Rhinolophus ferrumequinum: one gene and its partners. The protein of the gene in region 2 interacts with the protein of the main gene of each other region in a pairwise test. Links are inferred from orthologs where the notes say so. Each region holds a gene or a part of one and is shown on either strand. Other genes may lie near its edges. The genes, in order: PDLIM7, PHF1, TFCP2 and NAB2.

The links.
Region 1: the proteins of PHF1 (region 2) and PDLIM7 interact in binary tests that used the Homo sapiens proteins (3 or more experiments, as listed by UniProt). The two-hybrid records come from large-scale screens. The link is inferred for Rhinolophus ferrumequinum from reciprocal best matches to the Homo sapiens genes PHF1 and PDLIM7.
Region 3: the proteins of PHF1 (region 2) and TFCP2 interact in binary tests that used the Homo sapiens proteins (3 or more experiments, as listed by UniProt). The two-hybrid records come from large-scale screens. The link is inferred for Rhinolophus ferrumequinum from reciprocal best matches to the Homo sapiens genes PHF1 and TFCP2.
Region 4: the proteins of PHF1 (region 2) and NAB2 interact in binary tests that used the Homo sapiens proteins (3 or more experiments, as listed by UniProt). The two-hybrid records come from large-scale screens. The link is inferred for Rhinolophus ferrumequinum from reciprocal best matches to the Homo sapiens genes PHF1 and NAB2.

What each region holds. Positions count from the first base shown.
Region 1 is NC_046307.1:5,128,153-5,135,684, forward strand, and holds the start of PDLIM7 (PDZ and LIM domain protein 7), read left to right. Parts: upstream 1-4,525; 5' UTR 4,526-4,645; intron 4,646-5,605; 5' UTR 5,606-5,616; coding exon 5,617-5,712; intron 5,713-7,532. UniProt on the Homo sapiens protein: May function as a scaffold on which the coordinated assembly of proteins can occur. May play a role as an adapter that, via its PDZ domain, localizes LIM-binding proteins to actin filaments of both skeletal muscle and nonmuscle tissues.
Region 2 is NC_046286.1:3,721,781-3,728,892, forward strand, and holds the start of PHF1 (PHD finger protein 1), read left to right. Parts: upstream 1-4,100; 5' UTR 4,101-4,720; intron 4,721-5,472; 5' UTR 5,473-5,489; coding exon 5,490-5,648; intron 5,649-5,734; coding exon 5,735-5,816; intron 5,817-5,924; coding exon 5,925-6,020; intron 6,021-6,454; coding exon 6,455-6,555; intron 6,556-6,653; coding exon 6,654-6,802; intron 6,803-6,979; coding exon 6,980-7,075; intron 7,076-7,112. Other genes in the region: kinesin-like protein KIFC1, read left to right, coding at 1-219, 309-382, 499-574, 3,096-3,140. UniProt on the Homo sapiens protein: Polycomb group (PcG) that specifically binds histone H3 trimethylated at 'Lys-36' (H3K36me3) and recruits the PRC2 complex. Involved in DNA damage response and is recruited at double-strand breaks (DSBs).
Region 3 is NC_046293.1:51,630,275-51,638,091, reverse strand, and holds the start of TFCP2 (alpha-globin transcription factor CP2), read left to right. Parts: upstream 1-4,811; 5' UTR 4,812-4,884; exon of another isoform or gene 4,885-5,435; 5' UTR 5,436-5,495; coding exon 5,496-5,617; intron 5,618-7,817.
Region 4 is NC_046293.1:56,142,763-56,149,730, forward strand, and holds the start of NAB2 (NGFI-A-binding protein 2), read left to right. Parts: upstream 1-3,962; 5' UTR 3,963-4,121; coding exon 4,122-4,204; intron 4,205-5,641; coding exon 5,642-6,515; intron 6,516-6,928; coding exon 6,929-6,968. UniProt on the Homo sapiens protein: Acts as a transcriptional repressor for zinc finger transcription factors EGR1 and EGR2. Isoform 2 lacks repression ability.

The DNA of each region.
Region 1 (7,532 bases), on a different chromosome or scaffold from region 2:
ACTTTAGTGCCAGGCTTACTGTCCTCCCCTCCTGCTACTCCTGTCACCACCCCTGGGATCTCCATGTACACGAGCATCGTGTCCCCGAGGACCTGGCCTCCTGGCCCGTCGACCACAACTCTGCCTCAGCTGCCCCATACCTTTGGCACATCCTGAACTTCATCTTAAAGACAGTGATGCTCCATTGTCACTTCACAGTGACACAATCATTTCCAAACATCTGCCTTGCCACCTCTCCTTCCGGCCCACTTTTTCTGAGGGTACATAGGGCTCCTCAGCTGCCCGGAGCCACAGAGACCCTTCTTGCACTGTCTGCACGACTGCTTTCCACAATTCCATCCTTGTCCTACTTAGATTCTGCAGTCCCCTAATGGAGCCACGCCCTGCACGCCCTGCTCTTATTTGTCCAGCAAAGCCCCAGCCTCCAACAGTGCCTGGCAGTTGCCCATGGCCAGAGACATTAGAGAAATTCATGTAACCAGGCTGACTGCACTCTCTTCACCAGCGTGATCTCAAACCTCACGGAGACAGGCTCTCCATGCTGCCCAGAGATCCTGTGAAGCATGGAGAAAACCAGAGTACCTGGGAAAACCAGAGTAGCTGCTTTTTCCCTCCCCAAGACCTTCACCTTCTCTCCACCCCTGCCCATTCCCACCTTGCAGATATCCAAACAAAGAGTGGCCCACAGAAGTGAAGCGCCTCCACCTCCTCCCACCTACAAGTGCACCTGCACTGTCTTCCCGACCTATGTTGGAAGAAGTGTCTGTTCCCAAGACGTCCGTGCTCTGACCCCAGCTCTTCTCCCCTCCTCACAGCTCGGCAAACTGACTTGTCTCCTCTCTCCTCGACCCGTTAATTCCATCCTCCTCATTTCCAGCCTCACCAACATGCTCTATAATTTCACATCTTTAAAAGAAACCTTCCCTTGACCTCAAATTCTCCTTCAGCACCTCCCCACTTCTCTGTTCCTCTTCACAGAGAAAGTCCTCAAAAGAGTTGTTGATTACTCTCATTTCCACTTTCCTCCATTCTTCCTTCCGACTCGTCTCCCCGTGGTGCCCACTACACCATTACATTGCTCTTATCAGGGTCACCAACCTCCTTGTTCCCCAAAACAAAAGCCGCTGGACTCCCTTTGGGACCAGGACTCGCCCCACGTCTCAGCAGCACTTGACACTCCTCCTTCACTCGTTTCCCTCCTCCCCTGCTCCAGCTCTGCCTAGGGCTCTGGCCTCCGACACAGTGTGACTCAGCCCTGGCTGCACGGAATCACCTGGGAGCCTTTAAAAGATGCCCACGCCTGGGCCCACACCCAGGGGCTAGGGCTTCAGTCCAGCCATTTCTTCAATTCCCCAGGTGATTGCAGAGTGCAGCCAGGCTTCAGAACAACAGCCCTAAGTGAGCCAATCCTGTCTCCATGTCTCCCAGACGTGGCGTACCTTCAGTGCAAACCTCTCCAATGAGCTCTGGATTTAAGTGTGCAGCTGTTCAAGATTCTGGGTGTCTAAGATTCATCTCCAAATGTCATGTGAAGGGAGGCTGGGGGAAAGGGGCTGCGTGCAGTGTGGCCACAGATGGCAAAGCCTGAAAGGATGTTTCAGCCACGGGGAGGCAGATTTTGGCTCCACTTATGGACCTTCCTTGTGATGGTAACGTCTTCTCATGAGCCATCTGGCTGCCTGCCGTAGAGCAAGCTGAGACAAGGAGGCTCCAGTCAAGTGTCTGCTGCAGGGACCCCTCCACCCCATGGTGGCAATCCAGCCCTTGCCAGCTCAGCAAATCCCAGTTCACACTGTAGGTTACCGAGAGTGTCAGGGACATAGCCAGAAAGGACCCAGGACTCTGAGTACCCAATCTGGTGTGCTTCCCTTTATTACAAATCGAAGCCTCTTTGTTTCATGGCAGTGGCTGTGAGCTTCCCACCACACTGGAAGCAAAAGTCTTTGGAAACAGATTTCTGGGATTTTAGGGTCGTTGCCCTGCCGCTGCAAGTGTCCTGGCCACGAGGGGGCAGTGTGTCCTAGCCCAGTGCCTTTCCCTACCCAGGGGCTGCCTATGCAGGGAGATCTGGTGGCCTTCCAGGTCTGAGTCTTGCACAGTCCCAAGGAACCAGATCCTGGGGTCCTCTCTGCTGGAGGACTGCCAGGACCCCCCGGCTGACCCTTCTTCCTTCGCTCAATTTCTGTTTCACCCTCTCATTTTTTTCCTTCACAGCAGGGACACTGTGTGCAGGCACTGGGGAAAATATGGACAAAACAGACAGCCCCTGATCTCATGGGACTGACATTCTAATGGGGACAAAGGGCAATGAAGAAACAAACACTTAATATAATGTCAGATGGTAGTAAGTGCCCTGGGGAAAAATAAAGCAGGATAGGGACTAGTGCATGATGTAGGTGAGGTGTCAGGGGGCTGCTGTTTTAGATAATATGAATCAGGGAAGGCTCCTCAGAGGCAACATCTCAGCAGACACCTGAACAAAGTGAGCGAACCTGTTGTTTAGATAACTGGGGGAAAATGTCTCAGGCAGAAGGAGCCGCAAGTGCAAAGGCCCTGAGGCAGGAATATGCTTGACGTGTTGGAGGAGCAGTGAGGAGGCCAGAGGGACTGGAGTAGAGTGACTGAGGAGGAGACAGGTGGGAGGTGGAACCAGTTTATTAGTGCCATGTACATCTTAAGGACTTTAATTTTATGTGCAACATGAGCCCACCAGAATGCTAAAAGCCAAAGGTGATGTGCTACAATTTTTGCTTTAAAAATATCATTTTGGCTGCTGCAAGGAGAAGATTCTGGAGTGGGTCAGGATAGAAGCAAGGAGATGTGTTAGAAGACTGTTAAGGGGTCTAGGCACGAGATGGGTGGCAGCACCGATGGTGGCAGTAGTGACCAGATGTGGAACATATTCTGAAGGAGGAATTTGCAGAATTTGGAGTATGACAGAGAAAGGAAGGAAGGATAACTTCATAGTTTTTACTGGACCAGGTGGATGAACAGTGGTGCCATTTACTGAAGTGAGGAAGGAGCTAGGGAAGTGGGAAAATCACAAGTTTAAATTGGGACATAATGATTTGCGATATCTAGTAGACATCAAGTAGAGAGGTTGGACAGGTGGTTGGCTATTAGAGCCTGGCGATCTTGCGGGGAGGTCAGGGCTACACACATAACTTGGTAGTCCTTGGCATATGGGTGGTATTGAAAGCCACAGGACAGGAGGAGGTCTCAGAGAGGAAGTGTAGAGCGGAAAGATCTGATGGCCAGGCTGGGGGACAGATGACGACCTTCCAAGGAGGTGGAGAAGCAGCAGCAATGGAGGAGGAGGGATGAGGCTGGGGAAAGTTGGAGTGCGCCTGGACCAGTGCTGTTCCTAGGTAGAGTCACAGGAAAGCTGAAGAAGCACCACTGATTTGATAACTCAGAAGTCTTTGGAGACCTTGAGAAGAGGGAATTAGTTCAGAGAATTGAAGTGGGGAGGACAAGAGCCCGACTGGAGTGGGTTCAAGAGAGAACAGGAGGAGAGCAAGTCGAGACAGCATGACAGAATTCCTTCGAGGAATTTCACTCTCAAGGGGAGTAAAATAAAAGAGCCATAGCTGGAGAAGGACGTGCGGTCAAGAGAGGATTTCTTTAAACACGAGACTCGTACAGCAGTTTGTGTAGTGAGGGGAATGATGTACAAGAGGGGGGAAATGAGATGATGGCGGAAGGGGGCGAACTGCAGTGCCCATGTCCTAGAAGGAGCTGAGTTCACTCACCCGCACACTCCCGGTCTCTGCTCAATTTCCTCCTCTCCGCCTACGCTGCTGCCCAGGTTGAGCAGGGACGGAGGAGCAAAGTGGGGACTCTGACACCCCCACTGGAGGCGCTGCCCGCTTTGGAACGGAGTACCAGGACACATCCCACCTCGACAGTGTGGGGCCAACCCTGAGCCGTGCTAACCGACCAGGGTCAGAGGGCAGGGTCACAGGGCAGGCTCAGGGCCCAGCCAAGGGGCCCCTCCTCTTACTTCCACCCACTCCTACCATTGCTTTCTGCTTTCAGTGCTGTGCAAACATAGCTTCAAATTTCCCTGTTCCCCCTTCAACTGACACCAACTCGATGTGTGCCCCCCACCAATTCCCTCAGCCGCCGATGGCTGAGCCTTACGCCAAACAATGCTTGTCTTCACGGCGGCCCTGTGAAACGAGCATTATCGTCCCATTTTTCCGAGGAGGAAATTAAGTTTCAGAGACGACTGTTTCCAAAGGCGGCTTTCTTTTCAGTCGACCAATAGGAGGCGCAAGGGGCTGAGCGAGCGGCGTCGCGAAGCCCAGGCCCCGCCCAGACCGCAATCCAGGCCCCGCCCAGACTCCATCCAGACCCCGCCCAGACCCCGCTCCGGCGAGGGGACCCTGGCGGGCTGTGTTTTCCAGCTCAAAGCGAGATGGGACTTCGTGATTGGGCGGGGCGGAAGGATTGGGTGGAGCTTCCCACCGCCGGAGAGGCCAGTAGGGGGCGTGACTTCGATGGGGCGTGGCCTCGGGTACCGCCCCCTTCCGCGGTCTCAAAGCGGACGGCGGACGCGGGGGCGGGGTCAGAACACCTCGGCCAGTCCCAACGCGGTTCCTTTGAGCCCGCTGCCGAGCAGCGCCCCGGAGGGGCAGAGCAGGTACCGGTGACCGCGCGGGAGTTTTGGGCTGGGCCAGGGAGGGGGCTGCTAGGGAGCACAGAGGACTTTAGGGGTCGTGGCCAGCACTGAGCTTCCTCCCGCGGGCGCGGGCCCCTGCCTTCGACCCCGCCTCCGCCTCCGCCTTCCTGCGGCGAAGCCGGCTGCGGCGGGGCCGATTGGCGCCTGCCCTGCTTCCTGCCCCCGGGACTTGTCCAATATTGTGGGGCCCAGGCAGGGGAACCAGGGGGAAACTGAGTCACGTCTGGATGTAGCAGGCCTGTGTGGGAGGCACCACTTCCACTGAGCCCCAGGATGAATCTCCTTCCTGGCCATGCTTTGGGGTCCCAACCCCCACCGATTTCCGCAAGGGCCGCACCCCTGCCCGCCCCCAACCCCCAGCGCCCAGGGGTCCCGCCCTGGCTCGACTGGTCCCGGAATGGCTAGGACCCGCTCCAGCCCCCTCCCTTTCTCCCCCTCCCCCCGGAGTCCCGAGCCCCCGGGTGCTCCCTCGGCTGGCTCTCTGCACAGTGTCAGCTTACACGCCTTATATAGTCCGAGCAGGCTCCAGCCGCGGCCTGCCTGCTGGGACCTGGGGGCGGGGGAGAGGAGCGCCGGCCCCTGACTCACCCCACCGAACGAAACTCAAGGCTGGCTTGGGGGGAGGCCGTGCCACATTAGCTCTGCCGCCCACTCCTGGATGAAAAGAACCTAAAAGCTAGATGCGGGCTCTGCTCACCCTCAACAGTCCCTGGAGGAGGGGGGTTGTTCCTGTCTTTCCAAAGTGAGACCTGCCAGCCAACAGTCCAGCCAGACCTGACAAGGAGAGGAGCCTGACTACCTGTGCCCTGGGTGTGCTCAGCATCTGCCCTTGCCTGCCTGGCATCAGTCCAAGGCTGGTGTATGGAGCTGCACGTGCTTGTGTACCCACCATACCAGCCACTCACCTTTCTCTCCTCTCAGGAGAAGGCACCATGGATTCCTTCAAGGTGGTGCTCGAGGGGCCAGCACCTTGGGGCTTTCGGCTTCAGGGAGGCAAGGACTTCAATGTGCCCCTCTCCATCTCCCGGGTAAGCCTAGGTTGGGGGAGGGTCTCCCTCAGGAGTCTTTGGGTGCTCCAGTGTGTATGGGGAGTGTGGGAGGGATCTGAGCAGGAGTGAACCAGGGCCAATAGGCCAGGAGGTATCCGGGTCCAGAGGTGTGGGGGGCACCTGCCATGAAGACTCCCAACTGGGTTACTGGAAGAGGAGCCCCCACACTTCCCCAGCACTGCACTGTATCTGATGCCACTCCAGGAAGCTCCTGGGGCCACCTCTGAGGCCCCAGGGGTGCCCTTTCTGCAGGAGGGGAACCTGAGGTCTCTAGGAACTGTCTGAGCAGCTTGAGGGAGCAATACTTGGAGCCAGGCTCCAGGCAGGGCACTCTGACTGCAGGATCTCACTTCAACCTCTTTGCCACCCAGGAAATAGCCATTATTATCGTGGTTTTCCACATGAGAACTCAGGGCTGAGAGATGGAAGGGCTCTTTCTGAGTCCATGGTCAAGCAGGAATTGGCATTAAGGTACTAGGATAGCTGCAGTTTGTGGGTAGGACTCCGGGTGGGTCTTCCAGCCTATGTGAGGACCTCCATCCCCACCCACTGGTCCCTTACTGGATGCAGTGACCTTTGACCCCTAGTGGGTGTGGAATGAGGTGTAGGGCTCTGACCAGCTCCTGAGAGCCTGCCCTGGTGGGGGCGGAGCTGGGGGCTGGCTCCTCCCTGTGGCAGGGGGATTGCCTTATAAGCCAAAGAATGCAGCCCCACACTGGGATGGCTAACTGGTGGCTATAGTCTGCAGAGCCCAAAAAGGCTTGCCTAGGCCTGGACCCCTGAAGCCCATCAGTGGGTGCCTCAGCTGGTGACTACCAGTCCATGGCTCCAGTTGTAAGGCACAGAGAACAAACTGCCTACCTAGGCACAGTGAGGTCAGCCCTTGGGCTGGAGTCTGACTAGTCTGGGGGTTAGGAGGGGGTGGGGACTTCCTGCCCCCACATCCGCCTGTCCAGAGAGGCCCACCCAGGCATCTGGTGGGCAGGCAGCTGTTGGCAGGAAGCCCAGGGCAAGCACAGCCCAGAGGGGGCCAGAAGGTTGTCCAGGCACTGCCCAGCCTTAGAGGTGCCCCAAGGTGGAGTAGGTCTGTGGGAGTTGGGCTTGGTGGCCAGGGCAGGGAGTTGGTTACCGTTTTTCCCAGGGACTTTTCCGAGGGGTTCCCCTGGAAACTGCCCGGTCAGCAGGGTAGTTAAGGGCAGTGGTCCCCCTAACACACACACACACATACACACACCCCTGTACAATCCTCAAGCCTTGCAGCCCTGGAAACCTGTCCTATATCCCCCTCCCTGGGAAACTGCTGGCTAGTGTGGCTGGGGAGCTGTAGGCCTTGGCTGGCATCTGAGCCTCAGTTTCTTCTTTGGACGGGATGGGCAATGTAGTGGTCTGGGGGGTGTACTTTCAGATGTGGCCTTTTGGGGGCACTCTTGGCTCCCTTGTCAGCAGCCCTAGCATGTGGGTGGGACCACTAGCTGAGCCCAGCCCTGGAGTTGGACCTGGGCCCTAGTGGGTGGGTGGGTGGGGTGGTCTTTTATGAGCTGGGGCGGTTCTCTCCCTCTCCCCTGACCCCAGCATGGAGGGAGGGACTAGGGCTGGCTGTGGGCCCAGGCCTGGGAGATGAGGTAACGTCTGGGACTGGGGGGTTGGGCTGCTCAGTGGAGCCCTCAGGCTGACTCACCCCCCACCTCATGCAGTGTCCAGCCCCCTGGCTTTTTCCCCCTCTTTGGTCGCTCTGGCCTCCTTGCTTCTCTCTCCAGTCACCATCCCTTCCTACTATCCTAGTTCTCCTGCTTTTCTCT
Region 2 (7,112 bases):
CGCAGCCACAGTGTGTTCCAGCTGCAGATCTCTGGGGAGCACACTGGACGAGGCCTACAGTGTGGGGCCCGCCTCAATCTTGTGGACCTGGCTGGGAGCGAGCGTCTAGACCCCGGCTTAGCCCTTGGCCCTGGGGAGCGGGAGCGTCTTCGGGAAACACAGGCCATTAACAGCAGCCTGTCCACACTGGGGCTGGTCATCATGGCCTTGAGCAACAAGGTGGGAATGAGGCTGGGTCAGGTGGGGCCTGGAGCTGACCATGCTGAACCCGATCCTAGCCTAGTCACTTGTCCCTCTCAACCTGCTAGGAGTCCCATGTGCCATACCGGAACAGCAAGCTCACCTACCTGCTGCAGAACTCTCTGGGTGGCAGCGCCAAGATGTGAGTGGAAAGGGTCGGAACTGTGATGTTGGGGTGAGGGGTGGGAAAGGGGAAACGGGGTCCAGGCTCCACCAGCCACTAATGCAGGGTTTTGGCCCCCTTTCCTCTCTCCACAGGCTCATGTTTGTGAATATTTCCCCACTAGAAGAGAACGTCTCCGAGTCCCTCAACTCCCTACGCTTTGCCTCTAAGGTGCGGTTACCACCAAGCCCAGCCTCTGTCAGGACCCCTGGGTGACTGTGGGCTTCTCTGTCCCAAACCCTTCTGTCCTTTAGGCCAGGGGCACATTGATCCAGAAAGGATTTATGTTGGCCAGGCGTCTGGGGCACTACCCACCTAGATCCATTTTTTTTAAATTAGTTTCAGGTGTACAAAAGAATGCACTAGCCATTTCATCCCTCACAAAGTGATAACGCCCCCCCCCAATCTATTGCCCCTCTGACTGATATATTCCATTGACTCTATTCCCTATAGATCCATTTTTCACCTGTTGGCTTTTTAGGGATTTTTAAGATTTTAAAAAGAGGTGGTTAAAAGGTCAAAACTACATATAAAGCTATATACTACTCCTGTCCGCCCCATGCTCCCCACCTGTCATTTTTATCACTTATCATTTTATTCTTCGAATGTTTGCTTTTGCAAATACAAGCAATACACTTGTGCTTATTCCCCTCCTTCTTACATACGAGTAAAAGACATCTCTCTCCCTCTCTTAGATTTATGTTATTCTACACTTTATTTCGCCTAACAAGACAACCTGAAGATTACTCCCCACAGGCACACAGAAATCATCCCATTATTTTTATATTTGCCTAGGACTCCACTGTGGATACACTGACGTTTATCACCTCTATTAGGCACTTGGATTGTTTCCGCCCCTCTTCTGTTACAAACAAGGCCATGTTGACTAACCTTGTACATATGTCATTTTCTATTTGCTTACTTACATCTATCTATCTAGGGAAGGATTCTTTGAAATGGGATTGCTGGATCAAAGGAGATTTAGAGGTTTTTCCAAATAGTGTGAGTTCAGGCTCCAAACCCCACGAGGGTTAGCCATGGCCATGGCTATGAACTCTCTAGGAGACTTATGTTCCCTCCTCTAGAGCTGAGTCAGAAAGTTTCTTTACAGTCTGCCTCTGGAGGGAAATTTTTTCCCTGAGACTATACCCTGTGATGGGTTCTGGCTTTAGTAAGAGTCTCTGATCACGTGTGCCTTTCTGCCGCACTCAGGCTTCAGCCTGTGTTGTTGCCATGGAAGTAGTCAACCGCCTTCGCACCCTGACCTGGTCTTCTGCTTTAATCAGGATTTACCTTGCTATCTTGCAAGTTCAATTAAAGGTATATCAAATCGTTGACACCCAACAACTTGAACTCTTTAATATCCTCTAATACCCAGTTTATATTACATTTCACCTGATTGTCTCAGAAAATGTCTTTTATACTTTGGTTTGTTCTGATCAGGATCGAAGCAAGGGCTACTCATACTATTTGGTTGAAATGATCTCTTAAGTTTCTTTTCATCTATAACAACCCTGCCTTCTTTTATGGCATTTATTTGTTGAAGAAATTGGGTGATTTGTCCTATGGAATAACTATATCCTGGATTTGGGCTGGTTGCTGCCTTTTTCTTCCATAATTGTTGTTGTCTTAGGAGTTAGGTTTAGAGGCTTGATTAGATCTGAGTCAGGTTTAAATTTCTTAGCAAGAAAACTTACATGGGGTTGTACACGTTCTATTGCATCATAGCAGGAGGCACCTAATATCTAGTTGTTCCACTTTCAATGATATAAAAATTGATCGTTGGATTTGGGTATTGTCAGCCTGATCTATCCATTAAAAAACTCCCTATCAACTTTTTTACCTAGTGATTTGATCAAACAATGATCATACCTAGGTCTATTGTTTCATTGAGTTAAAATGGTGATGATGATGATGATTTTTATTTTTACTTTTTAAAAAGTTTTGGTTTTTTCCTATTTTTTCTTTTTTCTATTCTTTATTTTACTTTATTTAAAAATGATTTCCTGATTTTCTCAGTTCTACTTTAATTAGCCCAGATTCTTCTATAAAGTGCTTCCTATTGCCATCTATTTGATTACTCTAAAATTCAGTCCATATAGGAAAGTTGGGATAAATGTTGAATTCTTTATCAATTTTAAGTATACATTGATACTCTAGCAACTTCCAAAGGTAAACAGTGAGTTTTTATCAAGGGGTTATCTTTACAGATGCTTATGTATTTGATATGTGTCCTTGTCAGTTGTCATTCATTCTTTTTATGCTCAAATTACTCCATCTTTGTCCAGTGGGAGCTCTTTCAAATTGACTCTTGTGTCCCTTAGGTCCCCAGTAGTCTTTATTCTAGGTTCATCTTGTACATTGCCTGCCCTAGACTAGGAATCATTCATTTTCCAAGGAGCCTTGGTTCCTAAATGAGTGTTGGTATTGTTCTATCTAGTTTATTCAGCGCTAGTGATGGGAAGGATTTGGGGTCTCTAATCCACAGTATTGCTAGAAATGAAAGCTCCTTCTCTGTCTGCTCCTGTGTGGTGGGGCTCCCATCCCTTCTCAGGCCTTTTCACCACTTTCAGACCTAGTGTGCCTAGTGGACATAGAACCAACCATGGGGATTGGGAGGTTGATCTTGGGAAACCCAGCCTGTTGGTTACTCTGAAAATTTTTTTATCCTGTCTAACCCCCCTGCCCGCAGGTGAACCAGTGTGTTATTGGTACTGCCCAGGCCAACAGGAAATGAAAACAGATCCAGATCCTGGGGGTTGGGGGGTTGGGGCTGAGAGGGTGATTTGGGGGGGGAAGGGGGGGCACTGTGTTACCTGGACCTATTAAATAAAGAAAAGTTTTTTGGGTTTTTTTTCAAATAAAGGTTTTATTAGCAATTGCTCAAGAAAGGACATATTTTTCACATCTGTAAATATGGGGCTGTGGATCTGTCCACTCTGCCCAGCAATTTGTGTTTTGCAGTGCAAAAGCCTGCACTTTGCTTTTCTCCCTGACAAGCTGTACCCTGAGTGGCCTTCAGCTCCCATACTTTCCTGGTTGTCCACACCTACCATGTTTCCCGGAAAATGAGATCTAGCTGGACCATCAGCTCTAAGCCCTAATGCGTCTTTTGGAGCAAAAATTATAAGACTGGGTCTTATATTAATTTTTGCTCCAAAAGACACATTAGAACATTAGAGCTGATGGTCCGGCTAGGTCTTATTTTTGAGGAAACACGGTAAGAGGTGTGCCCACTAGCTATCCACAGCCACTAGTTGTTTCCCCGCTTGCCACAGGCCACCCTAGCTCCGGAAAGGTGGCCACCTGAACCCAAGGACGGGACTGACACACCCTCCCATTAACTGCTGGCTCTTTCCTCCCGCCCTTTCCCGGCCTTCGCGTTCGAACGGCCAGGCCTGGCCCTGCCCGCTGCCCATTGGCTGGCTCTCGGCGGCGTCACCGCCTGGGTTCTAGCCCTCCTTGGTCGGCGCCCCGGCCCTGGAAGTGCGGGGCGGGGCTCACGCCCGCCGAGACCGTCGCGCCAACAGCCAACGGCCGCCGCCCCAGAAAGGAGGGGCTCGGCCCTCCCAGGTGCCGCGCGCAGGAGGGGTCACGCGTGCGCAGAAGCTAGGGGGGACAACTTGCCACCTAGAGGGTGGGGCGGGGGCAAAGGCGGGAGAGGAGGGCGGGGCACTAGAGGGAGGTGGGCGCGGAGGGGGCATAGGGAAGGGTGAATGGAAGGCGGGGTCGTGAACTGGGGTCGGGGGCGGGACTTGGAGTGACCATGGAGGTTGGGGGGGCAGTTAACGGATGTGGCATGGGGCTGGGGCCAATCCGGAGGGCGGGCTGCCGGGAGGCGGGGGATTCCCTCCTGCCCCCTGGGCGGGTCTCCCTTCCGAAGAAGGGGCTTCGGGGATTCCCTTTCCCGCCAGGTCAGACTGTCCGCCCGCCCCACCAACGGAGAGGCCGCCGCTGGCTCGGCGCCCTCCAGGCCTGTTGGAGGTGAGGGAGGTGGGGTGAAGTAGTGCCCGTCCCCCCGCCCCCCGGCTCCTCCTTCCCCCCAGTCCTCCCCTCCCACCACCCTCCCCCCGAGCCAGTTTGTCCCTCCCCTCCCCTCCCCTCCTTCCCCCCGCCGCCTCCTCCTGCCGCTGCCGCTGCTTTGGCTGCTGCGTCATACGCCCCAGAGCCGCCGGGACGGAGGGGCTGGGCCTGGGGACCCCCCGGCCTCTGCCTGCACGCCCCCCGACGCCCAGACGTGCCCTCCCGGCGCGGGGGGTTCGCCTCGGTCTCCCACGTCTGCCTCTGCCCAGCTCCCGGCGTCCCCAGCTGTCACTGGTAAGGAGGCGGCGGGAGGCGCTCGTGGTGGGGGGGGAGCAGGGAGCCGGGGGTCGGCGCGCAGGGCGCCAGCGGGAGAGCCTCGTCGCCCTGGCATCGGGTCCGGCTGGGCCGACTGAAGTCCCCTGTTGGACTCGCGGTCGTGGGTAATAGAGACTGGGACTGGGACACGCCCCCCTCCCGGGGCACTCAGGGAAGTTATCTAACCCGAGGGCAGGGAGCCCCGAATTTGAGGGCGACCTGACATAACCTGACATCAGGATAATTGTTCTGAATGAGACACGCGGGCCCAGGGAGGCAGCTGTTTCTACTCTGGAAAACATCGCTGGAAAAGCTCCCAAAATACATCTCTGGGTAACAGAGCACCCCAATTATGATACCTCTAAACAGCAGGAGAAGGTGACAGTAGAAACTGAGTGGTAACCTTTGCTTCTGCAACCATTGTTTCTGCTAAAATCTCAAGGCCAGGATATAATATCCCAGGGGAGGTCTGGAAGCTGGGAAACTAGAGAACTAGGTTGGGGGTGGGGGGGGCCGTTAGGGAGAGGAGAGGCAGTCACCAGAGTTGGGAGAGCTGGAGTCAAGAAGCTTGGGAGGGGTGCTGATTGGTTTCCTATCCAGGTGTCTCAGGGATTTGGAGACTGGTGGGGGGGGGGGGTGTGCAGCTGCTTCAGTCCTTGACAGAAAAATAGGCAAATAAGGAAGGTTTCTTGGCTTTCATAACCTTCTCCTCCCATTCCACTTCTGGCTAGGCCCCCCCCAGGATGCAATGGCACAGCCTCCCCGGCTGAGCCGCTCTGGTGCCCCCCCACTTTGGGACCCAGCTTCCCCTGCTCCCACCTCAGGCCCCAGGCCTCGACTTTGGGAGGGTCAAGATGTGCTGGCCAGATGGACAGATGGGCTGTTATACTTGGGGACCATCAAGAAGGTAAGACCCTTCTGACCTGTCACCTCTCCCCATTCCCCTTATCTAATGCTGATTCCCATTTCATCCTCTATGCTCACCCATTCCAGGTGGACAGTGCTCGGGAGGTGTGTCTGGTCCAGTTTGAGGATGATTCCCAGTTTCTGGTTCTATGGAAAGACATTAGCCCTGGTGAGATCTTAGAGGCCTGGGAGTGGCTTCCCATGGAAGACAGAAACCTGGCTTGGGGGAGAGAAGGGGACCTAAGGACAGGTTCCTTGACACTGTGTTCCCTCATAGCTGCCCTCCCCGGGGAGGAATTCCTTTGCTGTGTCTGTCGCTCTGAGACTGTGGTCCCTGGGAACCGGCTGGTCAGCTGTGAGAAGTGTCGCCACGGTGAGAGGGCAGGACACCTGAGTGGTCCAGCTTGCCCTAGGCCCTCTGGGCGGTCTCTGACCCTTCCCACCAGGACTGGTCCTATGCCACCTATTCTGGCCTCCGTCCCCAAGCTACTGCTCTGGCCAGTCTCCTTGAACCTATAGTCTCACTCCCTTCCAACATAGGAAAAGGCAGCCATGGAATGGGGCTGTGTGAGCTTTGCAGGCAGAGGGTGGTTCAAATACTCCCTTTTCAAACCATAGGACTTTGGGCAAGTCCCTAAACCTTTAGGAGCCTCAGTTTTCTCACCTGTAAAATAAGGGTAATACCCCTCCCCCTCCCCAGGACCATGGTCAAGGATTAATGAGATAAGATTCTTCCTATCCTGATACCTAGCACACGCAGGTTTGCAATGCAATAAATGCTCTACCATCGATAATATCATTCTTCAGCTTATCACCAGGACTGCCATGTTCCAAGGGCCCCAGCCCCAGGAGAGGGAGAGGGCACATCCTGGGTCTGCCGCCAGTGCATCTTTGCCATCGCCACCAAGGTAAAGGCATCTTCCTGTGGGAGCCTCCCACCCACAGCCTCTCCCGAGTCTTTCTCTCCCCACCCCTCTGAAGCAGCCTGCCGGTTCTCTCTCTGCAGAGGGGGGGTGCACTGAAGAAGGGCCCCTATGCCCGAGCCATGCTGGGCATGAAGCTATCTCTGCCATATGGACTGAAGGGGCTGGACTGGGATGCTGGACATCTGAGCAACCGGCAGCAGAGCTACTGTTACTGTGGTGGTCCTGGGGAGTGAGTAATGAGGGGGCGGGGTTAATGAATGAGTGACAGTGTGGTGGTGGGGGAACCCCAGGGAATGGAGAAAGAATGGTGAGGGGAGTGCTGAAGGGGGTGGGAGTAGGTGGTGAGCAGGGTTGGGGCAGTTAAGGAGGGAGTGTCTAGAGGTCACCAGTCCCGTGTCCCCTTCAGGTGGAACCTGAAAATGCTGCAGTGCCAGAGCTGCTTGCAGTGGTTCCATGAGGCCTGCACCCAGTGTCTGAGCAAGCCTCTCCTCTATGGGGACAGGTGAGACCAGGGCACTCTCCAGGAGCCCAGGGGGCCC
Region 3 (7,817 bases), on a different chromosome or scaffold from region 2:
ATGACAACCTGCTGGACTTGCCACTGAATCACCAGGTCCTGGCCCCGGCGGCCTGGACTCCTTCCCCAGCTCTAGGCCTAGTGCTCACCTCAGTGCTCCGCCCAAGCTCAAGGTCTTCCTGGCCTCCCTGAGCACTGTGAACGGCCCCCTCAATGGTAACAGGAAACATGAGAGCCTGGGGCACCCTCAGCGGGAGGCAGGGGCTGCCTGCCTCCTGTCCCCAGGACCAATACAATTTCCAAGAAAGACAACAAAAAACATGATTGCATTTCTAGGAGAGGTTAAAACTGCAATGAGATCAGTTATTAAATCTAGAATTGCTATCATGGGCTTTTAGCACAAATTATGCCATTTTGGGCCTGTGGGTTTTCTCTTTAATATATGTATTTCTTATAAATCACAATATCTCAGATATTCCATGTGCTGTGGACAGCTGTGAAGGGAGAACTGGCATTTTATGAACTAGAGACGATGTGGGCTGGTTTCTGGACTCAAGATGAGAGAGTTGAAGGGAACCTGAGCTTCCTTGGAACTGCGTGGGTGTGAAATTTTTTTCATTTCCTTGTCTCTCAACTGCAGGGTCCTTCAAAGAAGCCAGACTGGGCCTCATGGGCTGTCTCTGTGGGATGTAGGAAAATGTAGAGTGAAAGCTAAATGGTCAGCCCCTCAAAAATGTCTGCTTGGGTAATTATTTCTTTCTGTACCTAGAGGAAAAAGCCCAGTGATTGATCCCAGCAACAATGACTGACTTGAGTAAATGAATGAGAAGGGAAGCGTAGGGGATGGAAGGGTACTGGTCCAGGAAGCTCGAGCCCTCAAGCCTCTGAGAGAATTGTTTTGTCTTAAGAGGTAGGTAGGATAGGTGCTAGGGTCCCCTTCTTGTCAATCATAACAGTTAACCCTCACTGATCACTGACTGTGTTAGGCTCTCTTCTAAGCACTCAACATGCATTATTTCAGTTAATCCTCACCATAATATTTTATAAAGTAAGAACCATTATTATACCCATTTTACCGATGAGGAATTGAGGTATAGAAAAGACAGGGAATCTACTAAAGGTTGCTTTGCTTGTGAGCAGCTGAATCAGGTCTTGAACACAGGTGGGCTGTCTCTAAAGCCTGTATGCTTAACCTTACCTCTTATTTACTGGGTGGGACCTGGGGATTGCTATCTTTCCCGATCTCTTTGGTAGGATTTCCATGTTTCCACCCACCAGGGTAAACCTTGCTATGTTCCATCTAAACCAGTCTAATTTCAGGACCTATTCTAGGGACAAGAACCCTTCACAATGAGCCTTAACTTTACCCAATGGTCTAGAATACTGAATTTGGAACTCTGTGCCACAAGTTCTCTGGTTAATTAGTGATATTTATTATGTCTAACAAGAGCCATGATTTTTGTTGTGGGATGGATTTATAACTGCAAAAATTTGGTTTCTTGGTAAGTGTTGCTGGGTTCCCAGGAAAACACTGGTGATCTTTTCTTGGAGGCAGAGCCCCTAGGACTGCCCCTGGCATCCCTGGGTTTCCAGCCCTGCCACTCTAATTTCACTCTTAGTTATTTTGAGGAAAGGGGAGGAGGAAAAAGTCCACTCCTCCCAGTAATAGAATTCCAAGGATCTTCTTCCCTCAGGGAACTAGGCTCAAGGACATAAATCTCAAGGCTGATCTGCATTCCAATTGGGACAGGCCAAGGCTCAGGAATCACCTTTCATTTCACCTGTTTATTTTAGAATTAATCAGAATTAAGATAAGGAAAACCTTTGCAAAGTCTCTGTTTTGGTTCAGAATTTAAACATAGGCTCAAACATTTCCAAGAAATACATGTTTTTCTTTTTCTAAATATTTTCCAGAGAACAAAGTTCCATTGAGATTCCTGGATATGGCACAGTTATCTCTTCCAAACATCTAATCTGAATACTCCTTGTTTTATTTTAAATCCATTCCCTTTGAGCTATTTTTCTGTATATGAGAAAACATCCTTCCTCCAATATGCCTCATGGGCACAATTTTCTGAAAATTCAATATTCTCACTTCCACAAGCTTCAAATTCATCTCTGAAAAGAACAGGAAGGAAGCAGATCTTTTTAAGGTTATAACCATCCCCAGGGACAGGGTGGCATGATGGTTAGATGCCCAGACTACGAGGTCAGTCAGTCAGACTTTACCACTTTCAAGCTGAGTGACCCTAGAAGCCAATTAATTTTTCTAAGCCTCAGTTTCCTTATCTAGAAATTAATCTAGTAATGGTATCTTCCTTACAGGAGTGATGTGAGGATGAAATGTTTTATATACATAAAACACCTAATCAGGGCTTGGCACTTAGGAAGGGCTCAGTAAACATGAGACTGTCCTTATTAGCTACTATTTGCTCTGTATCTGTGCAATTCCTAGGAACTTGTACCACCAGCAGAGAGGTATCACTGTAGACAAAGCCCAGCTAAGAGAATCAGGGACCTGGATTGTAGTTCCTGGCTCAGTTGCTAATTTATGTAATATTTGTTACAAATTCAAGAAAATATTTTTTGTAAGTTATGAAGCATAATGATGAAACAATCACCCACGGACCTACCATTCACCTTAAATAGACTATTAACCACTGTTGAAGCTACTTTTGAGTTCCTTCCCTAGCCCATTCCCCTGCCTTTCCTTAATGTGACCATTTAGAGTTGTGTTTATCCTTTCATTCCTTTTTAAAGGAATGTATGTATATTTCCCTAAATTATATATTGCTTAATTTTTCTGGGGTTTGATCTTTGTAAAGTGATGTCACATTGCACAGACTTCTGCATTTCCCACCACAATTCTAAGATTGATTTATTCATGTGTTTGAGAGTAGCTGTATTCATTTTCAGTGCTGTGTAATGTTCTCCTACACTCTAGTTTATCCTTTTTCTTCTTGGTGGACATTTGTTTTGCTGCTATAAATAATGCTGCCATTAACATTCTCATACAAGTCTCCTGATATGTATGAGTTCTCTAGGGTAGTGTGAAGTTGCTGAATCACAGAGTAATATTCAGGAAAATTTCTAAAGAAGTTATATATAGAGCTTGATCACTCTGCCCTCTCTCAGTCTCAGGTTCTTCACATTAAAAAAAGAAACAAAAACTTCTATGAGGATTAAATAAGACAATATATGTTAAAGTACTACTAAAACCATAAGATACCATACAATGTAAGTTAATTTTTTTAAATAGGATAATAATACCCACCCAATCTTAAGAGAAGCAGAAATGGGCTAGTGGGAGACTGGAATTAACATTTATTGAATAATTATTATTTATGTGGCATCTTAGCACTTTATTTAATCCTCACAATAATTTTGGAAGAAGGTTAATACCTTCTTTCAGTAATTTATGGATTAAAATACTGAGGCTCAGAGATGTAAAGTTACTTGCCCAAGATTATGCATCTAGTCATCGACCTGTTGGTCCGTCAAGGCATGGTTTTCTACCTAATAGATGTTTTAAATACCCAGGATACAATGCTTGAATACAAAGAATTTTGATTATGACATCTCTCTTTTGGTTTCTGAGCCCAGGACCCATTTTTTTTTGTTTAACCCATAGGCATGTTTTGAGATAAAACTGCCTCAAGGTAAGAAAATATGGCTTGAAGAGATACTGCGTGTCACAGGAATGAACTAAGACTTGGATGCCAGGGCTTATTAAGGTAAGAAAATGGGTAAGCCTAGAGCCCTCAAAAAGAGAAGCCTGTGGCTGAAACAGGGGACATACTGTCAACTTCATGTCAACCTCTTTCTTTTTTTAATTCAGTAAGTATTTTTACATTTTAAAAAGTCCTACTGAATGCAGGAAGTATCTAGGAGATATTTAGAACACAAGCCTGAGAAAGACTTATTTTCTATAGATCATGGTCTAGTGGAAAAGGCAGATATATACAATATTTCAATTCAAGGCAGACTGTAAAAAATTCAACAATGGACTACAACAATGAACCAATACTTTCACATATAGGCAATGTCTTGTGAAAAATGTCAGGCTCTGAAGTTGGCACATCAATTTAGCTCTGGCCAATTTAAATGCTTAGCCTCCCCTCTCTGCTTGCTGGTAAAATACTTACCTTTAGAATTATAGTTCTAGTTACATGATTGTCTTGGGGATTATTGATAATGTAATTAAGTTCCTTGTATATAGATGACGCTCCATAAACAATGGACATTATTATTTAGTCCTCACAGTAGGAAGGTGGAACAAGTATGGTTATCCCTACATTTCAAATGAGGAAGCTTAATTTCACTGATATTAAGCAATTATTCTGAAGTCACCAAACTAGTAAGTGAAGACGCGAGCCCAAATGCTGATCCTCAGATCACCACCTTTTAAAAACCACATTTTCACCTTTCTTATGTCTTGTTGTTCCAATGCATTAAGAAGAATGAAGAAGATAGGATGACGATAGAAGGAAGTGGGACTTAAGCAGAGTCGTGACCTCCAGCGAGGTGAATTTAAGGAGAGTATTCCAGGAGCAAAAGAGCGCACTTAGGGAGCATCTCGGAAACGGTCGGGTCCGCCAGGGGTGGGTGTGGGTTGGGAAAACCACAGCAAAGGCTCCACCCACGCCTTAGGGTGCGGACTTAGTATCTAGCGGGTGCCGGACCGAGGGTAGCCACAGGGAGGGACGTTTAAACTGAGATACCTGACGCACACCAGGTCCTCTCCCAGATCGCCCAGCCCATCTTCGGGGCGGGGAGCCATGGGTTAACTAACCTATCATCACTGCCGAGGCCGACGAAGTCTCTTTTTCATTGGTGAGCGACAGGGTCACGTCACGTTCGCCGGACCGGCAAAGCAAGGGGGCGCCATGATTGGTTGGCGCTGGGGCGGCGGGCGGCGGAGGAGCGTGGCGAGTCTGGGTTTCAAGTCCGTGCTGGACTTTCTCCTTCCATGTTTCGAGGCTTGCGGGGCTGCAGGGGACAGGGATTCGGCCGGGCAGGAACCTGGATGTAGTTCTCAGAGCCGTGGGGGTGACCGGAAGTGATCTTGGGGCTGACCGGAAGCGAGGCCTGGAGGGGACGGGGAGACTGGGTCCCCGGGAAGGAGGGGGCTCCCAGCAGAAGGGGGCGGGAGGTTAAGGTGCGGAAGCGGCGTGGGAGCGCTGGGTAGGCAGCGGGTGGCTGCTGCTCCTCTGGGAAGCAGCGAGTGACCACCACGACCAAACGGGGAGAGCCTAGGGAGTGGGAGTCCAGGGCTGCGTCTGGGCAGTCTGGAATAATTAAGCGGTAGGACCGTCGCACGGCTCCAGGGAGCTGGGTGGGAGGGATTTTGGAAGTCTGGACAGCCCAGAACAAGGAGCCAAGGGTACGGGAGTTTAGGTGTGCGGACATTGCGGGTCGGGCTTGGGGGGCGGCTGGGGGGTACTGAGTGGGAGATCTTGGTTTGGAGTTTTCTGCATTCTTGCCCCCGTTGGGTAGAATCACACTACTCACCTTTGTGCAAGAAACGGTGTCTCCTGGGGCAAGGAAGGAGCCAGGATGGCCTGGGCTCTGAAGCTGCCTCTGGCGGATGAAGTGATTGAATCCGGGCTGGTGCAGGACTTTGATGCTAGTCTCTCGGGGATCGGCCAGGAACTGGGTGCTGGTGCCTATAGCATGAGGTGAGTGAGATTTTCCCAGACCCTGCACCTTCTGAATAACAAAGGCAAAGAAAGGACAGAGAATAGGGATGGGGGCCGGGGGGAGTTGGCGGGAGTGTTTCGAGTTAAAGAAGCTGTCGGCGGTTAGGGAAAAGGGACTTGTTTCTTTTCGTCGCTCTAAGTAGTGAGTATTGTGGAAGACATGGAGCAAGAGATTTTAGGCAGTGTCATGTCCGCAGTCAGAGGAAGAAGGAAGAATGGCCCTTGATTAGCAACCAGATTAATGTTGAGAGGCTGTTGTGCCAATGTGGGAGCCTTGGAGACTGATGGTGTGTGTGTGGATAGGCTGGACTGGACTTAACGTGAAAAAGAGGCCACATGGAACATGGGAGGGATGTCTAGGGAGCTGAGGAGTTGGGAGCTGGTGGTTATGATGAATATTGGTTGAGTGCTTGTTGGAAGGAAATGTGAGACCTTGGTGAAGAAGTCCGCACATCTGTATCATAGCCTGCACAAGGCCTGTAAAATGAAAAACTGTCAAAGAGAGCTTTTAGATGCTTCTAGACCTTCAAGGCAAATGGTGATAGTAAATAAAAATATTCTTTGAAAGCAACATAACTTTCCCATGTAGTGTATTTGCATGCATTAGCTACTTCATTCCCCCAGTATAGTTTGTTTCGTTTATAAGATGTGTAAGAATCATGTCTGGAAATGTTGAAACATCTGCATCTAAATATTTGGGTAAGCTAAATAAGGGAGTCAAAAGAGACTGTAGAACATAACACTTTAATTTGGAAAGATGCTTTTCATGGAGAAAGTGGACAAATTTTGTATTCTGATAGTAAGATCCTTTGAGAATTACATAATGTAAACATCCTTTCTTTACCCCTGTTAAACCAAAGTAGACTTTCCTCGTGAAATAAAATTATGAGTTAGAACTTAATACTGCATCTTCAGGAATCTTTGCTTACAGTTAGAATAATAAAGGCTCTCCGTGTATGCATATTTTAGTGATTTTCAGGGAAATTTGAGTTCTATCACACAGTGCTTTTAGTCTTGAGAAATTTAACTCTAGTTTTCCCTGTTCTTGTTTACATGAGTCTGACCATAAAAAATAGAGATTAACTTGGTCTGAAAGTACATGTCTGGACCCTGAGCTTGCATGCCATAATCTGACATAATATTTGACAATTTATGCTATTGTTCATGTAAAGATTACCACAGCAAAATGCTCAGTTTTTGCCTAGGTTATCAGAGTTTAGGATAGAGATAATTAAACATAACTGCACTTGTTATAAAAGTAGTTAACATTGTCAACAAACATTTGTTTATCTACTATGCACTCTACTGTGCGACCTTAATACTGGTGAGTGCTTTCTGTGTCTGAGTGGTTTCACAGATATTAGTAAGAATGGCTTGCATATTTACACATTTAGAATTTTTTGCCATCATCAAATCCAGAGGAGTTTTCAAAACATCATTTTCAAACATCAAATGTAATGTTTTCTTAGGAGCACAATGTGCCAAAATTTTATTTTTTTCACCTTTTTTCATGCGTTTTGCTCTTGTCACTGTTCTCTTAGATCTTGCATACTTTTACTCATTTGCATTAATTTGTGTTAATAAGATACTAGTTCTCAAACTTTAGTATTCATAAGAGTCATCTGGAATACTTATTAAAAGTAGTTTCCAGGGTTCCATCTTTGGTGATTGGGCACAGACCAGAAATTCGATGTTTTAAAACAAGTTCTTAGATGATTTTGATGCAGGTAGCCCAGGGACCACATTTTGAGAAACACTGACTAGAGAGGTTTTGATAGACAAAGGCAAGGAATGGTTTTTTGTTCTTCCTGTTTCTCCTTTTAATTAGACCTTGTGATTGGTTTTCCAACACCTTCCTTAGGGAAAACGTTTTCTTTGACAAGCAATTTGTTTTGTAAAAATTTTTTTGTAATATATTTATTTTATTCTATTTTGCTTATTTTAATGGTTTGTTTTATAGAGATTCATCTTAACTAGATTTCTGTTTTTGATTATTGATCTGCCATTGTATTTAGTATGTTCTTTTCATAAGTGGTTCTTTAATGTTCTCACATTTTTTCTTACATTTTAATACATGGCAGATACTTTATAGTTAAAATACAGGAGATTCCCTGGAAACATGCTGAATGAGAGAAGCCAGTCACAAAAGACCACTCAACATGATTCCATCTCTATGAAA
Region 4 (6,968 bases), on a different chromosome or scaffold from region 2:
CTATAATATCCTTAATGGCCTCGTACACCTCCCTGGGCTCCTTTTTAAGTACCACCACCACCCATCCAGCAATAATTAACAATTTCTAGTTTCTCAAACATATTGTTTCATACTTCCAGGTAAGTTTACATTCTGCTCTCTCTGACTTGACTGTGGCTTCCTTCTGGAAATCTGTTCAGACTTCAGAATCCCAGGCTGCATCATCTCCTTTAGATGTCTGTCAAAACCTGTCCCTCACAACTCCAGGCAGAATAGATCACTGGCTTCCTATACTTATGGCACCGTTTGTACCCCGTATTATTGCATTACATTGTAGTTGTTTATCCGTCTATCATCTCCCCTACGAGTCTATGCGCTCCTTAAAGGCAGTTCCTTTGTCTTTTTGAGGCACAGTGAAGCACCTCCTCAAAGATGCCTAAATTGAAGGATAACACTCCTTAGACTATAATTCTAATATGTTACTGAAAAAGGAAAAAAGGATCATTACTTTATATTTTTCTATTATCAGCAAAGATTTCAGCCTTCTACCTTTAACACCTGGGCATGAATTAATTTACCAGAATAGTGGACATTTTAGAAGGTCAAGGAACCAGACTTGTGAGACTTGCTGGAAACTTTAAGAAGGATGGAGACATGGAAAACAAATGTCTCCACTTAAACAGTTTTGCCCACGTTCAGCTCCTTTTGGAGTAAAATCTATGTCAATTGCCCTTTTCAGAGTTGCTCGGGCCTAGAAATAGCATCATCAACCCGTTTGTTTCAGAGGGCCCACCAGATACCCGAGCTACCCCGCAGAGGTCTTGGGCTATGGGTGAAACAAGCAACTATAAGTGAGTGTACACAGAGCCATGAGGCCACTGAGGGATGGGAGCAATTCTGCCCAGAGGGAGTACAGGAAGGAGAGGGTCCAAGAAGGTGACATTTGAGCCAGACCTTGCAAAGTAAGTTGGATTCAGCCTGGTGAAAAATTGGGCGGGGTGAGGGGATGCGGGTTAGACGTGCAATCTGCTAATTAAAATGTACACATCCCTGGGAATGAGAGTCCGCCAGGTTCGGGATTTCCTCACTCCTCTTTCACCCAATTTCTTCACCGTCTTTTCCCCTTTTCTTGGAAAATTGGGACTGAGGATACTGTTTCCCATCCTGGACTCTTCCACTATAGACAATAAATTAGTCAATTATTTATTAATAAATTATTCATTGACAATAAATCATTTCATTAAAGGGGATCCGTAGCTCTGCGTGCCTATGAGAACTCTGAGGTGGGGGGAGCAGATAAGTCAAGTAGGGAAGTGGTCCTGGGCCACCCTGGAGAAAATGGAGCCCACGCAGAAAACGAGAAGAAATGAAGATCTTTGTCCCACCCACTTTTTGTCATCTTCCACACACACACCACCCCTTATCTTTATGTTTTTCTATAGTTTCTCATAGTCTCAGCCTCTCTGTCTCTGTGTCTCTCCTTTTGCTAAAGACTGGAAATTCCTTGTTCTCAACGGAAGGGAGTAGGAGGGAAGATGGGGGTGGTAGAAGTGGGAGGGAAGCAAAGAACAGACATCTCAGCAGCCCTGGCTGCGGGGGTGCTCTGGGCTTTTGGTGGGGCTTGACAAGTCAATGATTTTTTAAATGTATACATTTTAAAATCCACACATAGGGGCTCACATACAAACCTAGACAGAGGCACAGATACACAGTGGATGTAAAGAAACACATACAAATAAATACATAGTCTCTGGCTACAGAAGTACGAACTGGCTATAATATCTTAAATTTGCTTAGCATTTTACAATGTATTTACAGAGTTTTCACATACGTCCTCTCATTTGAACCTCCTGACAACCCTGAGAAACAAAGATAGAAACGCCCAGGAGTTTCACACACAGGTTCCTACGCCGACAGACACCTAGGGGAGATGGCAGGTTCTGTCGGCGGGATTTTTCTCCCCTCTTCGGCCGAGTACCCGCCCCAGGACAGAGGAGTGAAAGCCTCTGAATTGGCTCCTCCCTCGTCTTCTTTCCTGGGGTGGGACCTAGGCGCCCGGCGCCCAGTGGGTAACTGCCCTCTTCCTCAGTCCAGCGTCTCCCTCAGGATACGGGGGCTCAGCACCGCCCCAAGAGGGCCAAGTGGGAGGGAGGGGGGCGCCTCAGCAGAGGCTGCGTGGGCGGAGGATGTGCGTCACGGGGAGCGTGGGCAGGGGGAGGGAGGAGGCACGTGGAAACCCGCGGCCAGCGACTGGCAGCCCAGACTCCAAAATAACCAGAGGGGGATGGGGGAAGGGCGCCCACACAGAACACAGGGGGTCGGAGAGTACCCCCCCAAGGAGCCTGTCTAGCCGTGCCCCCCAGTCGCGGGATAGGGGATAGGGAGGGACTCAGCTTTGTCCTATCACCCCACACTGGGTTGGGGCTTAATGGGGCGGGAAAGAGAATTTTAGCTACTGAAATCCCTCCAGTGATGTACCCCTCCTCTTCTGCCCCCAGCGGAGACCGAAAGGTCCCCTCGCCAGGCCGGAATGTAGAACCAGCCTCCGCACACGCCGCCCACGCCCTGCCGGGCCCGGGCCACTCAGAACTGCGGAATGATGGGGCGGAGTTGAGGCTTCAGACCGAGGGAACCTTGCCTCTGGCCAGTCTGTTCGCTTCCAGTCTCCCTCCCCCTTCCCCCAGCCATCGTTTCCTCTGGGCCTAGAGCCGCAGGGCCAGGCCCTCAGAACCCCCGCCTGTCCCCAACCCAGTCCTCCCAGCCGTGGGCGGGAGTGTAATGGGAACCAGATGGGGCTAGAAGAAACAAAGGGGGGAGGGATGGTGGGTTGTGGAAGGGGCTAGGATCCTTGAAGGAGCTCCTCCCTCCAGCTCCTCCGTAGGGAGCCGCGCCATCGGCTCCCGGCCTCCTGCCCAGCCTCCACTAGACTCTCCACTAGACTCTCGAGCGAAGTTCCCTAATAGACGTCCCCCCAGAAGGGGTATTCTCCATATCCCAGCTTTGCCACACAGGATTCCCCAGGACCAGGTTCCCATCCTCGGCAAATAGGGTACGAATAGTAGACGAAGGCGGGGTATCCCTCCCCTCCCTGCCTGACCTATGCGCTAACAAAACCCTACGCGTCTAATGAACGCGTCTAAGTGGTAGGTTCTAGCATAACCCGCCCATTCCTGTTCCCCGAACTTCAGCTTGAACTAGAGGCAGGGATGGGGAAGGCCTGGGTTTCCCAAAGTGGTCTCTTCAAATTACTCCTTTCCTGGCCGGAGAAGAGCGCTGGGATACCTAAGAGATTCCTGCAAAGCCCCAATCGCACAGAACTGCCACAAATGCACACACTATGGGAATCAGATGCATGCACGAGAGGAGCCGCGCACCCTGAAACTCCGCCAACTTTGCTCGGCTCACCCCTAACATTCACACGTCCACCACCGCGAGTCCTGAGTGTGGGCAGTGGGCGTCCGCGTAGTTGTTTAGGCGCGTGTGTACGTCCGTGCGTTTCTCTGTGTCTTTGTGTACCTGTGCGTGGTTGAGAAACTCCGCTCTCCGCGCGGAGGGGGGAGGAATGTCGCCTCCTGGGTGCTCACGTGGGTAAGTGGGCGAGAAGAGGGCCGGCTGTGCATCCGGCGTGGGTGGCATGGAGCGACCTCACCCCTCCCGCTAGGTCCCCAAACCCGCCTTCCCTATCCCGGCCTCGGTCACCCTAGTCCCACCTCGGCGCCCCGGCTCCGAATCCCCGCCCCCGCCTCCTGCTGTACACCCCCTCCCCCCCAGTCTCCGCCTCTCCTCTCCGTCGCGGTGTCTCCGAGGCCCTCGGAGAGGCCCGGGCGCCCGCCCCCCGCCCCCGGCCTCCGCCCCCATCTCTACCCACGCCCTCCGCCCGCCCAGCAGCCAGCACCGCGCGGGGCCTCGCTCCCCGTGCGTCCTGCGGGGGCGGAGGCGCGGAGAGGCGGCAAGCGCAACCGGGGAGTGGGGGGGCAGAGGCACAGACAGAGTCGCGGAGGCTTGGAGAGAGGAGACGTGGAGGGAGGGACGGAGCCCGGACCGCGGCGGACACGGCCTCGCGCGCCGGGAAGAGCGCAGCGCGCACCAGGCGCCGAGCGCCGGGCATCAAGAGTGGTAGCCCCGGTGGTCTCCGGCCGTCCATGCACAGAGCGCCCTCCCCCACAGCCGAGCAGCCGCCTGGCGGAGGGGACAGCGCCCGCCGGACTCCGCAGCCCAGACTCAAGTTAGTGGGCAAAGGGAAGCGGCGGGGAGTGGAGATGGGTGGAGCTGGACTCGGAAAGGGGTCCGGAGGGCGGAGGTCGCTGAGAGGACGAGGGGAAGCGGGACGGAGGTGGGGGGTGGAGACTGATGGAAAAGGGGGTGAGTCTTCAAATTAGGGGGCTCTGGGAGCAGGCAGGAGATTTGATGAAGCTGGATGTGAAAGAACAGTATCTAATTCATCCCCCGTTTACTCTATGGGCATGACCTGGCATGTGAGCCCCCTGCAAAGAACGTGGGGGCCCCCAAGCGCCAGGGGAAGCCTTGGAACTCTAGCTGGTAGCATTGTCGGGGGAGGGCCGCTCCGCTGGCTCAGCCTGTCTTTGGCATGGGGCACGCGAGCCCAGGGATCCGGCAGAAGCCGGCGCTTTTGATCCAAGAGAGTATCAACGGGGCTGTGGAGAAGCAGGGGATACCCTAGGCGTCCTTTCGGATTTTCTGTACCTTTATTTACAGTGTGGGGAGGGGAGTTTCGGCGTGCAGCCCCTCCCTCACGAGGACTTGAGCCGCTCCCCCACTCCACTTGAGATGTGGGTGGAAAATAAGGGAGAGGGTAGGCGGGAGCCCCCCGGCGGTTTTCGCCTGCAGACGCTACCACTGTAGGAGTTTGTGTGGGCGGAACAGGCCCAGAGAAGAACAATTGAGGCACTCCTCCCCTCCCCCCTGCCTGAGTTGAAGGGACAGGCCTACCTACAGAGCAGTTGGGGAAGGTCACTGCTGCGAGAGGGGCTAGAGGGGGAAGGGGTGGCACTGAGCAGAGGGGAGGTCCTGGAAGGAGAGAGCAAGAGTGTGCTAAGAATGCCTAACTGGTGGAAAAAGCTGAGGGTAGCGAGGAGAGCAGAGGTCCACCGGGCTCACAGAATGGGAAAGGACAGCTAAGGGGCCACACCCCTCTCAGGCACATGGGCAGGATGCCACTAGGGAGTGAAGCTGGCCAGCAATGGTCCAAGGTATCCCCTATGGGGAGGATGGGAAGGGGGTGTCCTACATTCACCTCAGTGTGAGATATCACCAAGTAATGGGCAGACCTACTGGTATTTAGAATGGAAGGTGAGGACCATGTTCTGGAGAAGAACTAGCCATCCTGGGGTGTGCTGACTCGCCTCAGTGCTCAAGGTCTCCTTGCCCAGGCCAGAAAGGTAAAAGCTGTGGATAGAGGCTAAGAGACTTTGACTTCTGCAGAGACTGGGCTGGCTTTTGGTACTTCTGGTCAGTTGGGATGGCACTGGCGTGTCTGTGCCTCTGAACAGTGCCTGATTCTCATAGTCTGGGCACTGGGCAGAAAGGGCATTCAAAAGAGAGGAAGAGGAGCAGGCAGGAAAGAAGACAATTGTGAGTGTGGGTTGGTACCCAGTAGGAGGACTGACTGCCCCCCTCTATCTCTTGTGCTCCTCCTCCTCAGGCCTAGTGCCCGAGCCATGGCACTTCCTCGGACACTGGGGGAGCTGCAGCTGTACCGGGTCCTGCAGCGCGCCAATCTTCTTTCCTACTATGAGACCTTCATCCAGCAGGGAGGGGACGACGTGCAGCAACTGTGCGAGGCGGGTGAGGAGGAGTTCCTGGAAATCATGGCACTTGTGGGCATGGCCACCAAGCCCCTCCATGTCCGACGCCTGCAGAAGGCACTGAGAGAGTGGGCCACCAATCCAGGGCTCTTCAGTCAGCCAGTGCCTGCTGTGCCAGTCTCCAGTATTCCGCTCTTCAAGATATCAGAGACTGCAGGCACCCGGAAAGGGAGCATGAGCAATGGGCATGGCAGCCCAGGGGAAAAGGCGGGCAGTGCTCGCAGTTTTAGCCCAAAGAGCCCCCTTGAACTTGGAGAGAAGCTGTCACCACTGCCTGGGGGACCTGGGACTGGGGATGCCCGAATCTGGCCAGGCCGGAGCACTCCAGAGTCTGATGTTGGGGTGGGAGGAGAAGAGGAGGCTGGCTCACCCTCCTTCTCCCCACCTGCAGCAGGAGGAGTCCCTGAGGGGAACGGGGCTGGGGGTTTGGCAGCAACTGGGTCTGGGAGTGGTCCGGATAGACTGGAGCCAGAGATGGTCCGCATGGTGGTGGAGAGTGTGGAGAGAATCTTCCGGAGCTTCCCAAGGGGGGATTCTGGGGAGGTGACTTCCCTTCTGAAGCTGAACAAGAAGCTGGCGCGGAGTGTGGGTCATATCTTTGAGATGGATGATAACGACAGCCAGAAGGAGGAGGAGATCCGCAAATACAGCATTATCTATGGCCGCTTTGACTCTAAGCGGCGGGAGGGCAAGCAGCTCAGCCTGCATGAGGTGAGGACCCCAGCCTCCCAGGATTGCTCTTGGCTGCCAGGCCTCAACCTACTCACCTCTGAGAATCTGCACACTCCCAAGTCTGTTTCATTACCCCTTGACCAGGACCCCCGCCCCTGACCCCTTCTCTCCCACTCCAACCCCAGCTCTTGCAATGCTTTCCTCCTCAAGTGAGGGGAAGCAGAGCCTACCTGTCCTATCTGCTCAGGACCACACAAGAGTGAAGGAGGCTCCAGGCCCCTAAAAAGCTGTGGGTGCTGACCTCTGTCTTCCTCAGAAATCGGCATAGTGTCAAAACCCAAGCAAGCATCTGACGGGTGGGCCTCATTTGTCTGATGGTGAAGGATTGTGAGGACATCTGGACAGGCAGTGGGGAGTTAGGATTCTGACTGCTCTGGCGGTTTTGTCCACAGCTGACCATCAATGAGGCTGCTGCCCAGTTCTGCATGAGGG